Linked DNA regions of Nothobranchius furzeri. Each later gene encodes a partner of the first gene's protein in a complex. Links are inferred from orthologs where the notes say so. Each region holds a gene or a part of one and is shown in the gene's direction. Other genes may lie near its edges. The genes, in order: mtor, fkbp3, mlst8 and rapamycin-insensitive companion of mTOR.

Region 1 (3,562 bases):
GTCATAGCAACATCTCAGTCTGAAACACACACGCACGCACGCACACACACACACACACACCCAGCAGGGGATTAATAAATAAATAGCTTATTGTGGGAATAATGTTCCTTGAATGCTTTCCTGGCGAAGTGCACAGCAGTCTCTGAATGGTGAAGTCGTTTTCACAAAGCACACGTGGGAATGATGCTATTATAGAAAGAGAGACTTGGTGTTTTGCTGATTTTTAATTTGTTCTGTTGGTGGTTTTTGTGTTCTCGTAGCATTTTTACAGCCCAGCTCTGCCTTTCTTATTGAGGTTAATCAAAATTTATCTTTTGTTTTCACCATTTCTAATAAATAAGAAGATTTGCATTAATTTTTCTATTTTGTCTTCCATATTGGCAAAATATGTTTTTGTTTTTGTTCACAAAGCAATAGAAAAAACAGCAAATAGAAAAAACCTGATAATTTCTATTAAGGTGAAAATTAAATAATCATCTTATTATTCTGCCTGTTTCGAAGAGAAAAATGGGATTTAAGTACATTTTACAGATTTCTTGACCAATTTTAGCATCAAGTAGCAGTTTTTAATTCATTAATCCCTGTAAAAAGTCTAAATGAAACAAATGTGTATAATTTTTTATTCTTTTAAGGTTAGGGATGGCAGCTTGCACATGAAACTCCACCAACATATTGTGACCTGTGGCTTGTTATAAATTACACGGTTAAAGCACATTATCAAGGTTATATTTCAGATTTGATGCAATAAATTCATTTCAGCGGTGCAGCCAAGAAGAGTTTGTGTTTTTAATGTACTGCCATCACTCCCCACGTTTATAACCCAAAGCTGACTCATCGGGCTGCTGCTTTCGCTCTCCATCAGTATTCATCAGCACCAAACAGGTTTAGGCCTTTCACTTGTAATATGTCACTTCAAAGATGCTGTAAACCTGTGAGTAACACGCTCTCTGGTTTCTGCAGCTGCTGCCAATATTTTCAGAACTTTACTTCAAACCCTAAATCATGGGTTTGGGCAGAGAGCACAAAGATGGAATCATGAGCACACAGTCGACTTTTCTTTGGTTCTTCTCGGTCTCAACGTTTACAGTTTTATGTAACTTAGGAGCTCGCAGTCTGGATTGTCTATAAGTCTGGTCTGGGTCTGGAGTCTAATCTCAAGCACGAGATGGGGTTCATAGAACGGGGGATTTGGAGTCGGGTTACCCTCAGGTTCAGAAGAGGGAAGAAGAAAAACACACTTCCATCATTTCATGACACAGTTCAGCTCAGTATCCCACACACTACCACAAATAAATGCCTACACTCCAGCTTCCTGCTGTCTCGCCGTGTGAACTTTAGACATGGGCCGATGGCGCATTATAGTATGTTGATGTAAATGTATATATATATATATATATATATATATATATATATATATATATATATATATATATATACCTACATATATATACATATATATATATATACCTACATATATATACATATATATAATGTGCTCTTGTATTACACCATTGAACCATTTGGAAGCCTTGTGTTTATGCCACCAACTTACCAAAATAAAAGCTTTACTTCAGGTGTACTGGGGGGGGGGGGGGGCAGCAAATAACCATCTCATGGGAAATGTTATAAAGTTATATTCCCTCTCTTCTCTAGCTGCTCATTGCCATCCAGCTGTTTGGTGCAAACTTGGACGACTACCTTCACTTGTTGCTGCCTCCTATTGTCAAGCTCTTTGATGCCCCCGATGTACCACCGCAAGCCCGAAAGTCAGTAAAACCCCAAAGGAAAATTATGAATTGATTAAAAATGTTGGGTGGTGTGGTTGCTTTTACATCATGTTGAAAGTGTAGGGAAATAATATAAGTTACATATCAATGTTGGACATTTTCTCTCCGGTGCATCCCTATTGTTTTATTATGTTTCTGTTTTTACTTCTAAAAACTGGCCCGGAATAGTTCTTCAAACATATGTAAAGTGTGATGCAGCAGTGTGTTTTTGTTTTGCTGCTGTCAACAATATTCAAACCAAGTTTTGTGTTTGTCTTTGTGGCTCAGAGTTGCCTTGGAGACCCTTGACCGGCTGACGGAGTCACTGGACTTCACAGACTACGCGTCACGCATTATACACCCGATTGTCAGGACGCTGGACAGCACGCCCGAGCTGCGTTCCACCTCCATGGACACCCTGTCCTCACTCGTATTCCAGTTAGGAAAGAAGGTAGTCACATCCATCCCTGGAACTGCCTTTTAAATGGCCAACTTCCCTACTGTTGGCTTTACATGAGCAGCACTTTTACCCCCCCTCCAGTCTCTTATTACTTCCTGCCAGACTGCTTATGTCACTCTATCAGCGGGTGTTGGTGTTTATGAGCATGGATGAGGTCACATGTAACCCCGCCTCTCCTCCTGAGCCTTCTACGTTTTACCTCTACACACTTTTATTGTTTGGAGGTCCAACCTCAGACCCACCAGAATTCCTTCCAGCCATGTTTGGCAACAAACACGTCGAGGTGGCGTTTGATGTGAGGCTCTCAGAGGTTAAACGCTCATGCTTCATACCCCATTATTTACTTTATAGTGAAAGGAAAGACGTATCTAGACTACAACACATGCGGCACACATTGACTTTTAAACAACGTTCCTTTCTTCCTGATTTCAGTACCAGATTTTCATCCCTATGGTAAACAAAGTGATGCTGAAGCACAGGGTCAATCACCAGCGATACGACATACTCATATGTCGGATTGTAAAGGTAGGTGCATTCAGATTTTAATGTTAAATCGGTCACACACCTTTCCAGTGTGTCTGTAATTCAGGGGTTTTTTTTTGTGTGTTTTTTTAATCTGCCTGCAATGTAGCTTTGAAATAAATCACTAAACAGTAAAATAAGCATTGTACATTCTTCCTTGTGTTTACCAGCAGCCCCCTCCAGGAGGAAATGCTTTTCTCCATTCAAAAAACATGTTTTGATGCTTTAAACAACTGTTAGCATGTGTGTGGGCTGTGTGTGTGTGGCCTTGGTGTTTATATGTGCATATTTGTGGCCTTAATAGGGTTATACTCTGGCAGAGGAGGAAGAAGACCCTTTAATCTTCCAGCATCGCCAGACTCGTGGTAACAAAGGCGATGCTCTGGTCAGTGGCCCTGTGGAGCCAGGCCCTATGAAAAAGCTTCATGTTAGCACTACTGCGCTTCAGAAGGTGAGAAGAGATAACTAACACTACTTTCTTTGAAATCTGAACTCTTATTTTCACAATGAAGCATAAGAAGTCCTTTGTTTGTTTACCAGCGTTGCTGCAGATGTTGAAAATCAATATGGTAAACAGTTCTGACTGCAAACCCGCAGTTTATTTGAGGAGATGCCATAGAAACCAACAGATCAGCAATACCTTTGAAGAAAAACTCTCAATGAAAGAGCAGAAGAACACACTGAATGCAGACGCCTGTTTTAAGAGCACATGGGGTCATTGGAGTGGTTTGAATACGAGAGTGATGGTTTTTATGCTGTGGTTTCACTCTTTTGAGATCTGGAAAAGCTGGATCTCCCACACGGTTCCAGTGCT
Region 2 (3,801 bases), on another chromosome or scaffold:
AATTGACAAAGCTCCTCGGATGAGAAGCGAAATGTCTTCAAGAAACCAAAGAAGTCCAGTTGCCTTCACTTGAACCCTTTAGATTACCAAGAGCTGGATGACTGAGAACCTTCACCAGAATTGATCATTATAGAAAAGCTTAATTCCATTAATGTTTAATTAATGAATGCTATTTTCATAACATTTTGGTGAACTAACAGGGAATTATTGAGCTTCCAGTAAGAGCTCCAGTGTGCTCGAGCAATATAATGCCTGAGGACAACTTGTAGACAAATTAGCAGTAGTGGTAGTAGTAGTAGTAATAGTAGTAGTAGCATTATTATTATTATTATTAGTAGTAGTAGTAGTAGTAGTAGTGGTAGTAGTAGTAGTATTAATAGTAGTAGTAGTAGCTTTATTATTATTATTATTATTAGTAGTAGTAGTAGTAGTAGTAGTAGCAGTAGTAGTAGTAGTGGTGGTAGCTGTAGCCGTAGCAGCAGCAGCAGCAGTAGTAGTAGTAGTAGTAGTAGTAGTAGTAGTAGTAGTAGTAGTAGTAGTAGTAGTAGTAGTAGTAGTAGTAGTGGTAGTAGTAGTGGAAGTAGTGGTGTTGTTTGAGTGAGAAACAGTGAGATCAGGTTTTCCAACACCAACCTTTGGAGTTTTGCACTTTTCTCCCCTGGTGGGTAACAAAAGAGGAGAGATGAGACCTGGGAGATTTCCTGTAAAGAGATAATTGCAGCGAGATGATGATGCTCCACCATCATACCAAGCTGGAGAACAAGGCCATGCAGATATTTATTCATCTCTCTAGTTGGTTACTAGGCAACAAGAGTTACTGGGTGAGAGTGATGCTCTGTGTGTGTGTGTGTGTGTGTGTGTGTGTGTGCATGCGTGCGTGCGTGTGTGCGCGTGCGTGCGTGTGTGTGTGTGTGTGCATGCGTGCGTGCGCGTGCGTGCGTGCGTGTGTGTGTGTGTGTGTGTGTTATGTCTTGTTTAGCCATTTGAATGCTGTAGTAACATCTTCGGTCCGCCAGAGGATGGAAAAATCCTTATCTTCGAAAACCAGATACTAATTGATTCTCGTTGTGTTTCCATTCATTTGACCTAAATAATACATATGAATCCCTTATAAACATAGTATGTTGCCATCTGTCAAGTTAAACGACCGATGAATAAACTTTTGCACTGAACATTAGCAGTAAAAAATAAAGTTTGTTTATTGTTTACCAAGTGGGTGAGCTATTTTAAGCAAACTTGCATTAATTTGTGTTATATCTTTTTCAGTCTATTTTTAGTAAATGTAATATTCATATAACTAACTTAGTAGCTTCCTTGAAGATAAATAAACAAATAATCGAATTCAAAACAAAAACAATGCGCAGCGAGTTCAAAGGTCACCAGTTTGCCTTTTAAGATGGCGGCCGAGCCAGCACGGGAATGGAGCGATGAGCAGCTGAAAAGTGATGATTTACCCAAAAAAGACATAATAAAGTTCATCCAAGACAATGCTTCACACTCGGTATGATTCTCGCTTTATTTTCGGGGAAGTTTCATTCTTAATATTGTGTGTTTTACGATGCTAATGTTCACTAAACGGATTGCAGGGCTAGCAACAATACTGCAGCATCAAAAACGTGCTAACGCTCCCATTCTGGCCGCGTGTTTGTCTTCCAGTTCCTCAATGAGCACAAGCTGCTGGGAAATATTAAAAATGTGGCCAAAACAGCAAAGAAAGAGCAGCTCGTGACAGCGTACAACCAGCTGTTTGAGAGTAAAGTGAGTGATGCTGAGGAGACCTGAATATCAGATGCTGTGTCATCTATAAACATGATAAACGTGAATGCTGTAAGTTTTATTTTGCAGAGATTTAAAGGCACAGAACCAGAGGAGCTGACCGAGCAGGTGAAAGCAGTGAAAATAGAAGAAAAGCCCAAAGAAGTGAAGGCAGAAGTGGTGGATGAGGTGATTTTTCTGGTTTATGCACAACAAATTTAGTCTTTATTTTGAAGATGTTATGACTCCCATCCACTACGTTTCTTCATAATTTCATCAGCAATACACTGCTGCGTAAGGATAACGGAGGCTGAGGTGATTCTGCTTGTTTTAGGGTCCTCCAAAGTACACCAAATCCATCCTAAAGAAAGGCGACAAGACAAACTTTCCTAAGAAGGGTGACACTGTGAGCTGCTGGTACACTGGTACCCTAGAAGATGGAACGGTGTTTGACACGAATATACCCTCAGGTATGATGCCAGAAATACGGGTTTGGAACTTCAGACCAGCATCTTTCATGTTTACGGATAAAACTCAGTCTGTCTTCATCTTTAGTGGCGAGAAAGAAGAAGCAGGCTAAACCTCTGAGCTTCAAAGTAGGCATGGGCAAAGTCATCCGAGGAGTAGGTTTTTTTTTTATCCTTCATGTGCATGTTCACAATTTCCACAATGTTAGACTCTTAATTCCTGCCGTCACTCCAGTGGGATGAAGGCCTTCTGACTATGAGCAAAGGGGAAACGGCCCGGCTGGAGATTGAAGCGGAGTGGGCGTACGGGAAGAAAGGCCTCCCTGACTCCAAGTATCCTTCTCTTTGGCATCACAATAAAACAGGTTTCATTTTACTGGGCTAGTTTTCTTAATCTTGTAGAATTTTTGTGGTACTGGAAAGTACTTTAACTCTTTAAAATAAGCAGGAAATAGGGTTTTGATCATAATAGTCATAAATGAGTTGTTTACGTTTAGGTGTTTTTTCTCTAGTTTAAGGTGCTGGATAATATTGAACATCTTGACTGTGGTAAATTATATTTTTGTGAAGGTTATAGTTTGACTTCCTGTTAACACATTTTCCTTAATTCCAGCTCCACCAGAATCCCTCCTAATGCAAAGCTGATTTTTGAGGTTGAGCTGGTGTCTGTGGATTAAACAGTCCACCAGCATTGCTCTCCATATGCAGCTTTTGGATCCCTATGTTGAAATGTCGTTTGGACTGCACTTAAACAGTCCACTTTGCCTTTATCTAGTCACATGTCATTTGTTTAAACCAGAATGATTGTAATGTTTCCGTGTACAAAATAAAGTTCTTAGTTTGTACAAAAGACTTAATTACTTCATTTTAATTTTCACATTTAGCTGTTTCATTGAACTTGTACATTAAAGATGCTATGAAATAAAAGCACCAAGCTTTTCTACATTTATTATAATCTAGTACCACGACACAACGCGTTGAAGCCAAGTTAAACTTCTTTATTCTGTACAGAAATAAACATTAACTTGGTAAAAGATGACAGATGGCGTTTGTCGTTTCTCCTCCGGGTTGCTGATTAGGAGTTTGCATTTGGACCCTTCTTCTTTCCGAAGGTGGGCACGACATTCACGAAGCGCCTGTTGTACTGGATACGGCGCTTGGCACGGCCAGTCTTCTTTTTTTTCTTCTCCTGTTTGTCGACCTGGATGGAAAAAAAACGCAGATATTTAGGATTGTACCAGTTAATGACTTTTTATAAATTACATTTTTAATAACTGACTCAAACTGTGAGGGAAAACAACTAAATGTTTCTTTATACACCCATTTTGGACAATTCCTTAACTATAAATGCTTTAATGGAGTTAAAGATGTAAAATTCCTTACTTTGGGAGTCTGGCCTCTCACTTTTCCAGCACGGGCAAGTGAACCGTGCACCTTACCTGAAAGAGAGCATGATTAAACTATAGGTCTTCAAAAATAAATAACTATTCATATGATGCTGTTTATATGTACAATCAGCAGTTTACCACTCACTACCTTGTCAAACTGATAACCTACAAACTTGAGTTTGATTCATTAT
Region 3 (4,124 bases), on another chromosome or scaffold:
TAAAACCTTAAAACATTTCAATTAGTGGGTTTATTCTACTTTAAACAATTCGTATTCAGTGGAGGATTGAAGCTGCTAATTTTAAGAATAAATAAGCTTATGAAGGCAAAATAGTAGTTATTAAATGTAAAACCACTATATGTAGGTTTATTATGAGACAATAAAAAATTACAGAATATTTATATATGAAATAAAGACAAATTCAATAGACAACAAGAGGGGTAATGTTACTATTAAAGAGTACAAATGGTAGTATAAGCATCAATAATTGCATGAATTAACTTTTGTATTGATTCAGTCATGTGTACTTTTATATGCATTGATTTTAAAACGACTGGTGAAAACATGAGTTCACATATCAGTGGCTTACTTCAGATGTGTGAGCGGGTGTTGCGCTGGGCGTCTGCTTATTAAATATTTTCAGTCATATTTAAAAACAAGTAATCAAATGTTTATTTTATTGCATAACATAACTTAAAAGTCTATGCATCAAATAGGTCAAATAAATATATTTAGATAACATTTTTACCAGCATGAGTTTGTAGTTTCTAATCAAACATGTCAGATATCAAACTTAATTATTAGTTATTGACCAATAAATACTCAACAGCGTCTAATAAACAGACATTCATACATGGGAATTATTTTTCAAAAGGTAAACATTTCTGTTTTAACAGGAAAACCATTTAGATTTGTTTGGATCTCACAAATTTGTAACCTTTTCATATAATTTAAATAAAAGAAAACAAATGCAGCAAAAGTAACAACTACAGAATAGAGAAACAGTTCTTTTATACGGGTTGTTCTTTATCTGAATAAACGTTTAATTTAATTACCGTACTTATAATCTGTCATTTGTTTTGATTAATGGCCACATATGTAATGAATTTTTATGTTTAGCTAGGTCAGCTGGATGAAAAAACGAGAACTGAGTCTAGCTTTCGAGAGTAAGGGATCGCCCTCTTCTGGAGACAAGTGGTTGAAGATAAAACCACTTAAAATTACTACGATTATTGAATTAGCGTAGTTTGTCTAGATGACTGGAAAGCCATATCATCTTTACATATGCAGACTACTTAACTTTTAATTATTTGTGTTGAACACGATAAAATAAACAAGCTGAAGCGGTTAACTGCAGCTCTATAAACATCAGATCGTGCGGCCTCAGGGCGAAACTAAACCCACGGTAGACTTAGAGGTATTTTATTCTTAATAAATGCAATATATTTATTATTAACATGACGTAAATCCAGACAGTTCGTCCTGTTAATTTCTAATTCACCAGTAAGTGGCGGTAATGCACTCATCAACACGGAACGTTTGTAACGGAACTCTGGTTTCTGGAGGACGCTTTTAACCAAGACGCGTTTTTTCCTGAATCGACGGCAGAGGGTAATGTAAACAAAATGCTGTTTATCAAATATCGCTGTTTTACTGTAAGGTGAGAGGTGTTGTCGCAGAAAACGGTTTAATCTCGAAAGTGTTAAACTTCGACCTTGGTTAGCTTGTTGAGCTAAGACTAGCTTCTGTTAAGCTGTGATTTTCATCCCTTTTAGTAAAGGTCAGAATGCTAATTTTCATTATCTTAGTGTAGCATTGACGGTTCTGACAACCAGACTGCTGTGGAAACATGAATGTGAACCAGGGGACGGTGGGCAGCGACCCGGTTATTCTGGCCACGGCGGGATATGACCACACTGTCCGCTTCTGGCAGGCCCACAGTGGGATCTGCACCAGGACGGTCCAGCACCAGGACTCGGTACTTGTGCTTGAGCTAACGATTGTCGTATTTGTTTTTAAAGAAACCCTTTACAGAAACAGAATGCAATAATTAGACATATAATAAAAGTTTATTTTCTTGACATTTTCCCCCAGCAAGTCAATTCCCTGGAGGTGACGCCTGACAGAAGTATGATTGCAGCTGCAGGTTGGTTCATGCATGCATCAATAGAGCTTCACGTTGTGTGTTTCTCTACTTACAGTACCCCATATTTATAAAATATAAATTGTTTTGTAAAGCTTATCCGCCTTCAGAATCTACCTGCGATGGGTTCAGTTGGTTGGACAGGATTTGAAAAGGACCTCATTGGCTCTAGTTGTTGTTGAATGCTTCAGCAAAATACTGAGCGAAGAATGGGACTAGTTTATGGGATTTGGTGGCATTTGCAAAAAACAAAATCAGACTAGGGCCTGCACGACTTTATTTTTTTTAAAGTCGACAGTCAAGTAATGAAAGTCAAGTCGACTTCGACTAGTCGTTGATGACGTCATACGCCGGAAGTGGCGGGGGGGGGGGGGGTCGGTCGATAGATTCGCTGGAGTTTTTGACAATTAAAATTGCGCCCACATTTTCTAAGTTAACACATCTCTTTTAACAACGGTAGTTTCTGCATCCTACTTCAGTCCTCTCCCCCCTCCCCCTGCGCAGCAGCCGCAATCTCACTGATGCGCCTGCAGCCTTTCCTGCTGCTCTAAACATTCAAATAATGATTTCATTTTCTGTTCCTCACTTCTGATTACATTCAGTGGTGTCTGTTTGTTGCAACCACCAGGTACAAAAACTAACTTGTTTTTATTTGACTATTTTTCTGTCCTGTCTTTATTATCTTCCTGCATCTCCTCTCAGTCCTAAAGAAAACCTGCTACCTGGGTTCATATATATTCACCTTATGAGTTACCTTTGAACTGCAGTTCTAAAAGATCTACCGACCGCAAAAACAGCGGAGTGCCGCTGCTCGCCGGCCAACTACAACGGGACCGTTTTTGCTGCGGAGTTCGTGCCAGAGCGGAGTGGAGAGATAGTGGAATCTTGGGGGTGCGTCACCGGAGGACAACAGGTGATGCGCATCGCTCCGCAGCAGCGAAATGCATCAGGCACAAATAACAGACAGAAAACATGAAAGGAAATGAGCCGACATGAACGATCGCGTGTTTAATTTGTTTTTGAGGTGGTGACACCTGATTTGGCGGTGCTCAGGACGCAATGTCTGGAGCGCGTCAACGATCAGAGCTTTGCATGCGCAAACTGGTTAAGATTAGGATGGGGGTGAGGGGAAGGTTAAATTGCAAGAGGGAAAAGGTCACAGTTTGGTTAAATGTCCGTTTTACCGCCGGTGTCAGTACCGCACAGCGCGTCGCCTCCGCCTCGATCCAGACGCGCAGGGGCTCATCACCTGCTGTCTTTTCCGAGGACTGCATCTTGTCAGTCATTATGACGTGACAGCGACTAGTTGATGACAGGCATAAAAAGTCACTACAGAGCCGTGAAGTCGACTAGTCGACTATTTCGTACAACCCCTAAATCAGACAGGTTCTTTAAGAAAAGCAAATAATTGAACCAGTAAAACGTTAAACGCTTTGGATTTATCTCACAGGTAATGTGCATTCTGTTTCAAAGGTTACCAGCACATCCGCATGTACGACCTGAACTCCAACAACCCAAACCCCGTCATCAACTACGACGGCGTCAGCAAGAACATCACTTCTGTGGGCTTCCATGAAGACGGGCGCTGGATGTACACGGGAGGAGAGGACTGCATGGCTCGCATATGGGACCTGAGGTCAGTGTAGCAGGACTTACTGAAAACCCGTGAGCTCCAACTTAAAATAAACCCTGCTTCTTGTTTAGGTCCAGAAACCTGCAGTGTCAGAGGATCTTTCAAGTAAACGCTCCCATTAATTGTGTGTGCCTGCATCCCAACCAGGTTAGCCATGCTGCGTTTGTCTCTGGGATCTTAGTCTTTTAGTTTAAAGTGACAGTGTTTCCAAATGCTCTAACTGTTGTGTGTTTTCCAGGCTGAGTTGATAGTCGGAGACCAGAGTGGAGTGATTCATATTTGGGATCTGAAAACAGACCACAACGAACAGCTGATTCCAGAACCAGAAGTCTCGGTTAACTCTGTTCATATTGACCCAGATGCCAGTTACATGGCAGCAGTCAACAGTTCGGTCAGTCTGCAAATGAGAATATCGGCCATGCTGGGTAATTTAAAAAAGACAAAAGCAAACCGGTTCTTTTTTGTGCTCAACAGGGAAACTGTTATGTGTGGAACCTGGCTGGAGGGATGGGAGATGAAGTGACTCAGCTCATTCCAAAAACAAAGATCCCAGCACACAAACGCTAC
Region 4 (4,085 bases), on another chromosome or scaffold:
CATTGATGCTCTAATTGCTGGAGAAACACTGACTTGAGTCACTGAAGAACATGTCGTAAATCTGTAATTACAGATTCTGATCCTCTGTTTAAAGATGTTACGCATGTAATATTTAATTTGACTGTAGTAACTTGTGTCTAGACATCAAATGTACACACATTGTTCTTTGTCTTCTATTCCCGTCAGTGTTGAAAGAAGAACAAAGAAAACTTTATTCCACTGATAAATATGTTTCCAAATGATGTGGGAAAATTTCCATTGTTATGGTTTTTATTATAATCAAATTATAAATTGCAGTTTTGATTTGGTGAGGAATACTACTTTGCACATGTTAGAAATACGACCAATTTAAAGGGCAAAAATATCCTTCACATCGTTAACTTGCAGACTTAACTGCCATGTTTCTGTGAAGAGACCTTCAGCAGGTTAACACTGCATGTTGACTGTTACTATGCAGTTTAGTCATTTTAAGTCAAGTAAAAAAAACAGCCATTTTGCTTTTTGTAAACATACTGTAGCCTAGGTGTAATGCAGCAAAAGTTGTGGCAACTGCTAGAAACCTTCAAGTTTAACCAAAATAAATGTGTTCATCCTAACAATTTATAGCATCAAGAAAGCAAAATGGGAACATTACTAGGCTAGTTTGCAATACTTCATTGCCAGATAGCTAAATATATCTTTGTTGCATTAAAGTAGGTTGTATTTGTGAAATAAATTGGGAATGTTTTGGCTTTCATGGGCAAAATATCCAGTGGTTTCCAAAGCTAGGGTTGGGATCCTGCTGTGGGTCACCAAGAACCACATGGGGGGTCTTGAGACAATTTCCAAGATTGCTGAAGCTATATTATTTATAATAACTGTTACAAACCTTAACTACATTGTCATAAATGTATATTACTGTACATGAACTGAAGCAGTTTTCTTATGCCCTAAATTATTAAGCTTTTATGCATGGTTTAAAATCAGATATTTGTGGGTCACATGTCTTGACAATTGCTACTTTGAGGGTCTGAAGCTGAAAGATTGGGAACCATTTGCTTAGAAAACAGTTTGGATTGTTCATAAATATTAGATCACACTACTTAAGTCAACCCTTACTAGTTTAATCAATTAATCAAAGAGAAGCAGTCAATTGTCAAAGAAAATGTGTAAATATATAATACTAATCCACAATAATAAAGTGTCATGGTCTTAATCTGGCATGATTGAAATGGTCATAAACTCTACAACAACTTTACTTTCATGTGTTTTTGGATGAAAAGAGGTTAGTGGTGAAATTTGATTATTGTGATTAACCCCGTCCCCAGATCAGATTGCTGTTTTTATATCCACAAACAACAGAGGGACTTTGAGCAGAGGGGTCTAGTCTCAGGTCTGCTGGGTCTGTCCATCGACATTAATACCGTATATAGTTTATACTGGGTCTGTCGTAGCCAGTTTGCAGACGACGTCTTTGATGCGTGTATTGTCGCGAGATTCCGCGAAGTTTCCGGTGTTGTGTGTACTGTATGTTCCTGGAGACATGGCGGCCAGCTTCCGCGGCCGTCCTATACGGAGTCTTCGGATGCGAGGTAAGCTTGAAAAAACTCTGTTCAATGACAGGTGTAACAGCGGGAATCTGCAAAATAGAAGACCCCATACACGCGATGAGCTTGGAGTGATGTGTTTTTGTGTACACTGTGTGTGTTTTTGTCAGGTCGGAATGACAGCGGGGAGGAGAACGTACCGCTGGATCTAAGCAGAGGTAATCAGCGATTATTCTTCAAAATGGATCATCATGGCACTTTGCTGTAAACACTGCCCCATTAAACGAAACTCAAACCATGACGTGCATATGTATTTTTATTTGCAATTCTTACTTAGTCAGTTTTCCTTTCTGTTTCGTGTAAAAACATTGCTAACTAGTCATAACAACGGGCGGTAGCGAGCTAACAAACGAGCTGGATTAGCTGCCACAGCTAACCAGCCATGACGACGCGCTGTTGTTTTGATCGGTGCTAGTAGGATACAGAGCCTGTTATTCAGCCAGACAGCTCATGCATCGGTCATCACTGACTGCACGAGGAACTGGGTGTACTGGCTGTTTGCTAAGTAGCACATATGGCTGCACAGGCTGGTTCTTGAGCTACAGCCTCTCAGCCGGGTCAGAAACACTGCTCCAGCAACAACACCGGTTTGTTTACACGGAACACTCGTGAACAGCATCATCCATCAGGATTTTGTTGTATCTGCTGACATAAGGAGCTGGAGGCGTTTAACATATGAGATATCAGTGACGATAGTTTTCCTCTGCAGGTTTTAAACATATATATCTTGAGGGCCAAAATACAAAGAGGCCATGTTTCATATCAAGTTTCCGTGTAAAGAACTTCTACTTATGGCTAATTTGCAGTCAATGTTCTTGCTTAGTATTTTGAGAAAGTTACAGTTTATACAAAAACAGCAAATCTTCCTAAAAAACTTAAAGCAATGATACAAAATGAGCAGGAGACTAGAAGAATGCACAGATAAATGAGATTTCATGATACCTGAGAGTGCTAACTGACATGAAAGCTCAATTATGAGTTACTTTTTTAATTGTAGTTTGCAAACTGTTTCTTTGTGAGGATCTTTCAACAAACACAACAAACTACAGTCTACTGTTATTTTTGTAGCTGTTTCTAGGCTTTTACAGTAATTTCACTATCTCTTGAACTAAGTTATTAATAGGTAAAGGAAAGTGATTAAAGTAAACAAAAATATCAAATCTCAATAGATTATACTTTTTGTTTTGTACTTGTATTCAGCGCTTGACATCATAGATTTTAAGATTGATTGGGTTGCTTGACTCCAAACTGTTAAACAATAGAATGTTCAACAGAATCAAAGCATGCGTAAATAACACTTGTCATGGGTTAAAATGATCTTTAAAAGACACAAAGCAATTGCGATTAGCTTTGATTAATCTGGATGGTTGGCACTTATCCTGCCCTGAAATTGAAATAAAAAAAAAACCACCATGCAATGCTTCTAAAATGATTTGCATGTACACTTTTCTACTAATGCATTGTTACAAATAGGGAAACCAAACTAAGTCTGTGCTCTAAATGAAGGATTATTATCTGAAGTTATTGTCATTGCTCTTTTTTTCAAATCCACCTCTAATATAAGATACTTAAATATATATTTGAATGGGCATCAAATCAAACTGATGAGTCTGTATAACATATTTTCTTTCTTGATATTTGGTTGTACATGTTTGCTGTTTTTTAAAGTTCAATGAAAAGTAAACAACATGAAATTCATAGATTTATTGTGCATGTTTGTTTTAATTCATAAAATAAATCAACCGTTTGCAAAGTCCTGAAACCTGCTAAGCTATTGTGGAGTTGTTCTAGTGGACTTGGTGTATGTGAATAAATCTGTAAAGTGGTTATCCTGATGTATTTTTAGTGTCTGGAGCTGCTGGAACTTTTCCTGGGTTTCACAATATTTCAATGTCAAGTTATTAATCCTTCTTGCCAATAGAGTTCTCTGTTTTACAGCCACATTCCTTATGTCAATAACATTGTGGTCAGCACATATAAATTGGAAGGACGTGCAAACCAAATGCTGACCTGCTCACATCTTGCTCTTTTAATTGCGTCTTGTTTTGACTGTACACGCTAAATGAGCTGGACCGTCTTCCTTCCTGCAGTGAATCAATTACTGATACTATACCAGTATGGCTTCACACTTTGTTACGTTGCATTGTTTTCTTCTTCTTTCCCTTGCAGAACCATCTGAAAACTTCCGTGAAATTCTCCAAAATGTGGCCAAACCTCATGGAGTCAGTAACATGCGAAAACTGGGCCACCTGAACAACTTCATTAAGGTACTACTGCAGATCTGATGGTCCAAATCCACAGTTTGTGTAATCTGTCTAAACAGTGTTGAAATGTAGTTTTCAACCATTCTCTAGCCACAGGAACTTTGTGATGCTAAATGACATCTGTATGTTTCTGAAAGTTATACCAGGGTGTAGATATTATGACCACAAAGATGGTGTACCGAAGTTTGCTTGTGTGTCAGTAAAATTCCCACCTAAAAGATGGCACAGAACACAC

What was found.
Region 2: the proteins of mtor (region 1) and fkbp3 are in contact, whole or in part, in a crystal structure (PDB 5GPG), measured with the Homo sapiens proteins. The link is inferred for Nothobranchius furzeri from reciprocal best matches to the Homo sapiens genes MTOR and FKBP3. Residues at the interface, in NP_001373429.1 of Homo sapiens: Glu2032, Tyr2038, Phe2039, Gly2040, Arg2042, Tyr2088, Val2094, Leu2097, Tyr2105, His2106, Arg2109; in NP_002004.1 of Homo sapiens: Lys160, Pro161, Leu162, Ser163, Lys170, Tyr198, Lys201, Gly202, Gln203, Pro204, Asp205, Ala206.
Region 3: the proteins of mtor (region 1) and mlst8 are in contact, whole or in part, in a crystal structure (PDB 4JSV), measured with the Homo sapiens proteins. The link is inferred for Nothobranchius furzeri from reciprocal best matches to the Homo sapiens genes MTOR and MLST8. Residues at the interface, in NP_001373429.1 of Homo sapiens: Leu2269, Arg2270, Met2271, Ala2272, Pro2273, Asp2274, His2277, Leu2278, Thr2279, Leu2280, Met2281, Gln2282, Val2284, Glu2285, Val2286, Glu2288, His2289, Asn2292, Asn2293, Glu2536; in NP_001186102.1 of Homo sapiens: Tyr20, His22, Asp42, Ser43, Gln44, Val45, Asn46, Tyr62, Asn87, Glu105, Gln148, Thr174, Arg221, Tyr222, Leu224, Ser268, Arg270, Gly271, Trp272, Trp274, Ser290, Lys313, Val316.
Region 4: the proteins of mtor (region 1) and rapamycin-insensitive companion of mTOR are in contact, whole or in part, in a cryo-EM structure (PDB 6ZWM), measured with the Homo sapiens proteins. The link is inferred for Nothobranchius furzeri from reciprocal best matches to the Homo sapiens genes MTOR and RICTOR. Residues at the interface, in NP_001373429.1 of Homo sapiens: Arg1028, Asp1032, Lys1068, Leu1069, Asp1108, Asp1109, Tyr1110, Asp1150, Lys1187, Asn1196, Val1200, Gln1207, Asp1210, Val1211, Cys1214, Arg1215, Lys1218, Gly1219, Tyr1220, Thr1221, Leu1222, Ala1223, Glu1226, Glu1227, Asp1228, Leu1230, Ile1231, His1234, Arg1235, Arg1238; in NP_689969.2 of Homo sapiens: Leu204, Arg205, Gly206, Asn209, Arg245, Asp247, Val248, Glu249, Glu251, Arg252, Leu254, Thr258, Asp259, Phe260, His261, Tyr262, Arg263, His264, Ser265, Pro266, Asn306, Gly308, Ser311, Gly314, Val315, Cys317, Ile318, Pro319, Glu345, Ile347.

What each region holds. Positions count from the first base shown.
Region 1 is NC_091755.1:52,484,536-52,488,097, reverse strand, and holds part of mtor (serine/threonine-protein kinase mTOR), read left to right. Parts: intron 1-1,653; coding exon 1,654-1,766; intron 1,767-2,054; coding exon 2,055-2,217; intron 2,218-2,658; coding exon 2,659-2,751; intron 2,752-3,052; coding exon 3,053-3,199; intron 3,200-3,562. UniProt on the Homo sapiens protein: Serine/threonine protein kinase which is a central regulator of cellular metabolism, growth and survival in response to hormones, growth factors, nutrients, energy and stress signals.
Region 2 is NC_091742.1:23,796,122-23,799,922, reverse strand, and holds fkbp3 (peptidyl-prolyl cis-trans isomerase FKBP3), read left to right. Parts: upstream 1-1,346; 5' UTR 1,347-1,396; coding exon 1,397-1,501; intron 1,502-1,656; coding exon 1,657-1,758; intron 1,759-1,845; coding exon 1,846-1,944; intron 1,945-2,089; coding exon 2,090-2,225; intron 2,226-2,310; coding exon 2,311-2,378; intron 2,379-2,457; coding exon 2,458-2,555; intron 2,556-2,844; coding exon 2,845-2,899; 3' UTR 2,900-3,261; downstream 3,262-3,801. Other genes in the region: faua (FAU ubiquitin like and ribosomal protein S30 fusion a), read right to left, coding at 3,298-3,423, 3,606-3,661. UniProt on the Homo sapiens protein: FK506- and rapamycin-binding proteins (FKBPs) constitute a family of receptors for the two immunosuppressants which inhibit T-cell proliferation by arresting two distinct cytoplasmic signal transmission pathways. PPIases accelerate the folding of proteins.
Region 3 is NC_091756.1:30,074,059-30,078,182, forward strand, and holds the start of mlst8 (target of rapamycin complex subunit lst8), read left to right. Parts: upstream 1-1,298; 5' UTR 1,299-1,392; intron 1,393-1,398; exon of another isoform or gene 1,399-1,594; 5' UTR 1,595-1,630; coding exon 1,631-1,759; intron 1,760-1,875; coding exon 1,876-1,927; intron 1,928-2,701; exon of another isoform or gene 2,702-2,837; intron 2,838-3,397; coding exon 3,398-3,560; intron 3,561-3,628; coding exon 3,629-3,704; intron 3,705-3,795; coding exon 3,796-3,948; intron 3,949-4,031; coding exon 4,032-4,124.
Region 4 is NC_091757.1:36,632,432-36,636,516, forward strand, and holds the start of rapamycin-insensitive companion of mTOR, read left to right. Parts: upstream 1-1,229; 5' UTR 1,230-1,456; coding exon 1,457-1,571; intron 1,572-1,696; coding exon 1,697-1,744; intron 1,745-3,755; coding exon 3,756-3,853; intron 3,854-4,085. Other genes in the region: c17h5orf34 (uncharacterized protein C5orf34 homolog), read left to right, coding at 1-37. UniProt on the Homo sapiens protein: Component of the mechanistic target of rapamycin complex 2 (mTORC2), which transduces signals from growth factors to pathways involved in proliferation, cytoskeletal organization, lipogenesis and anabolic output.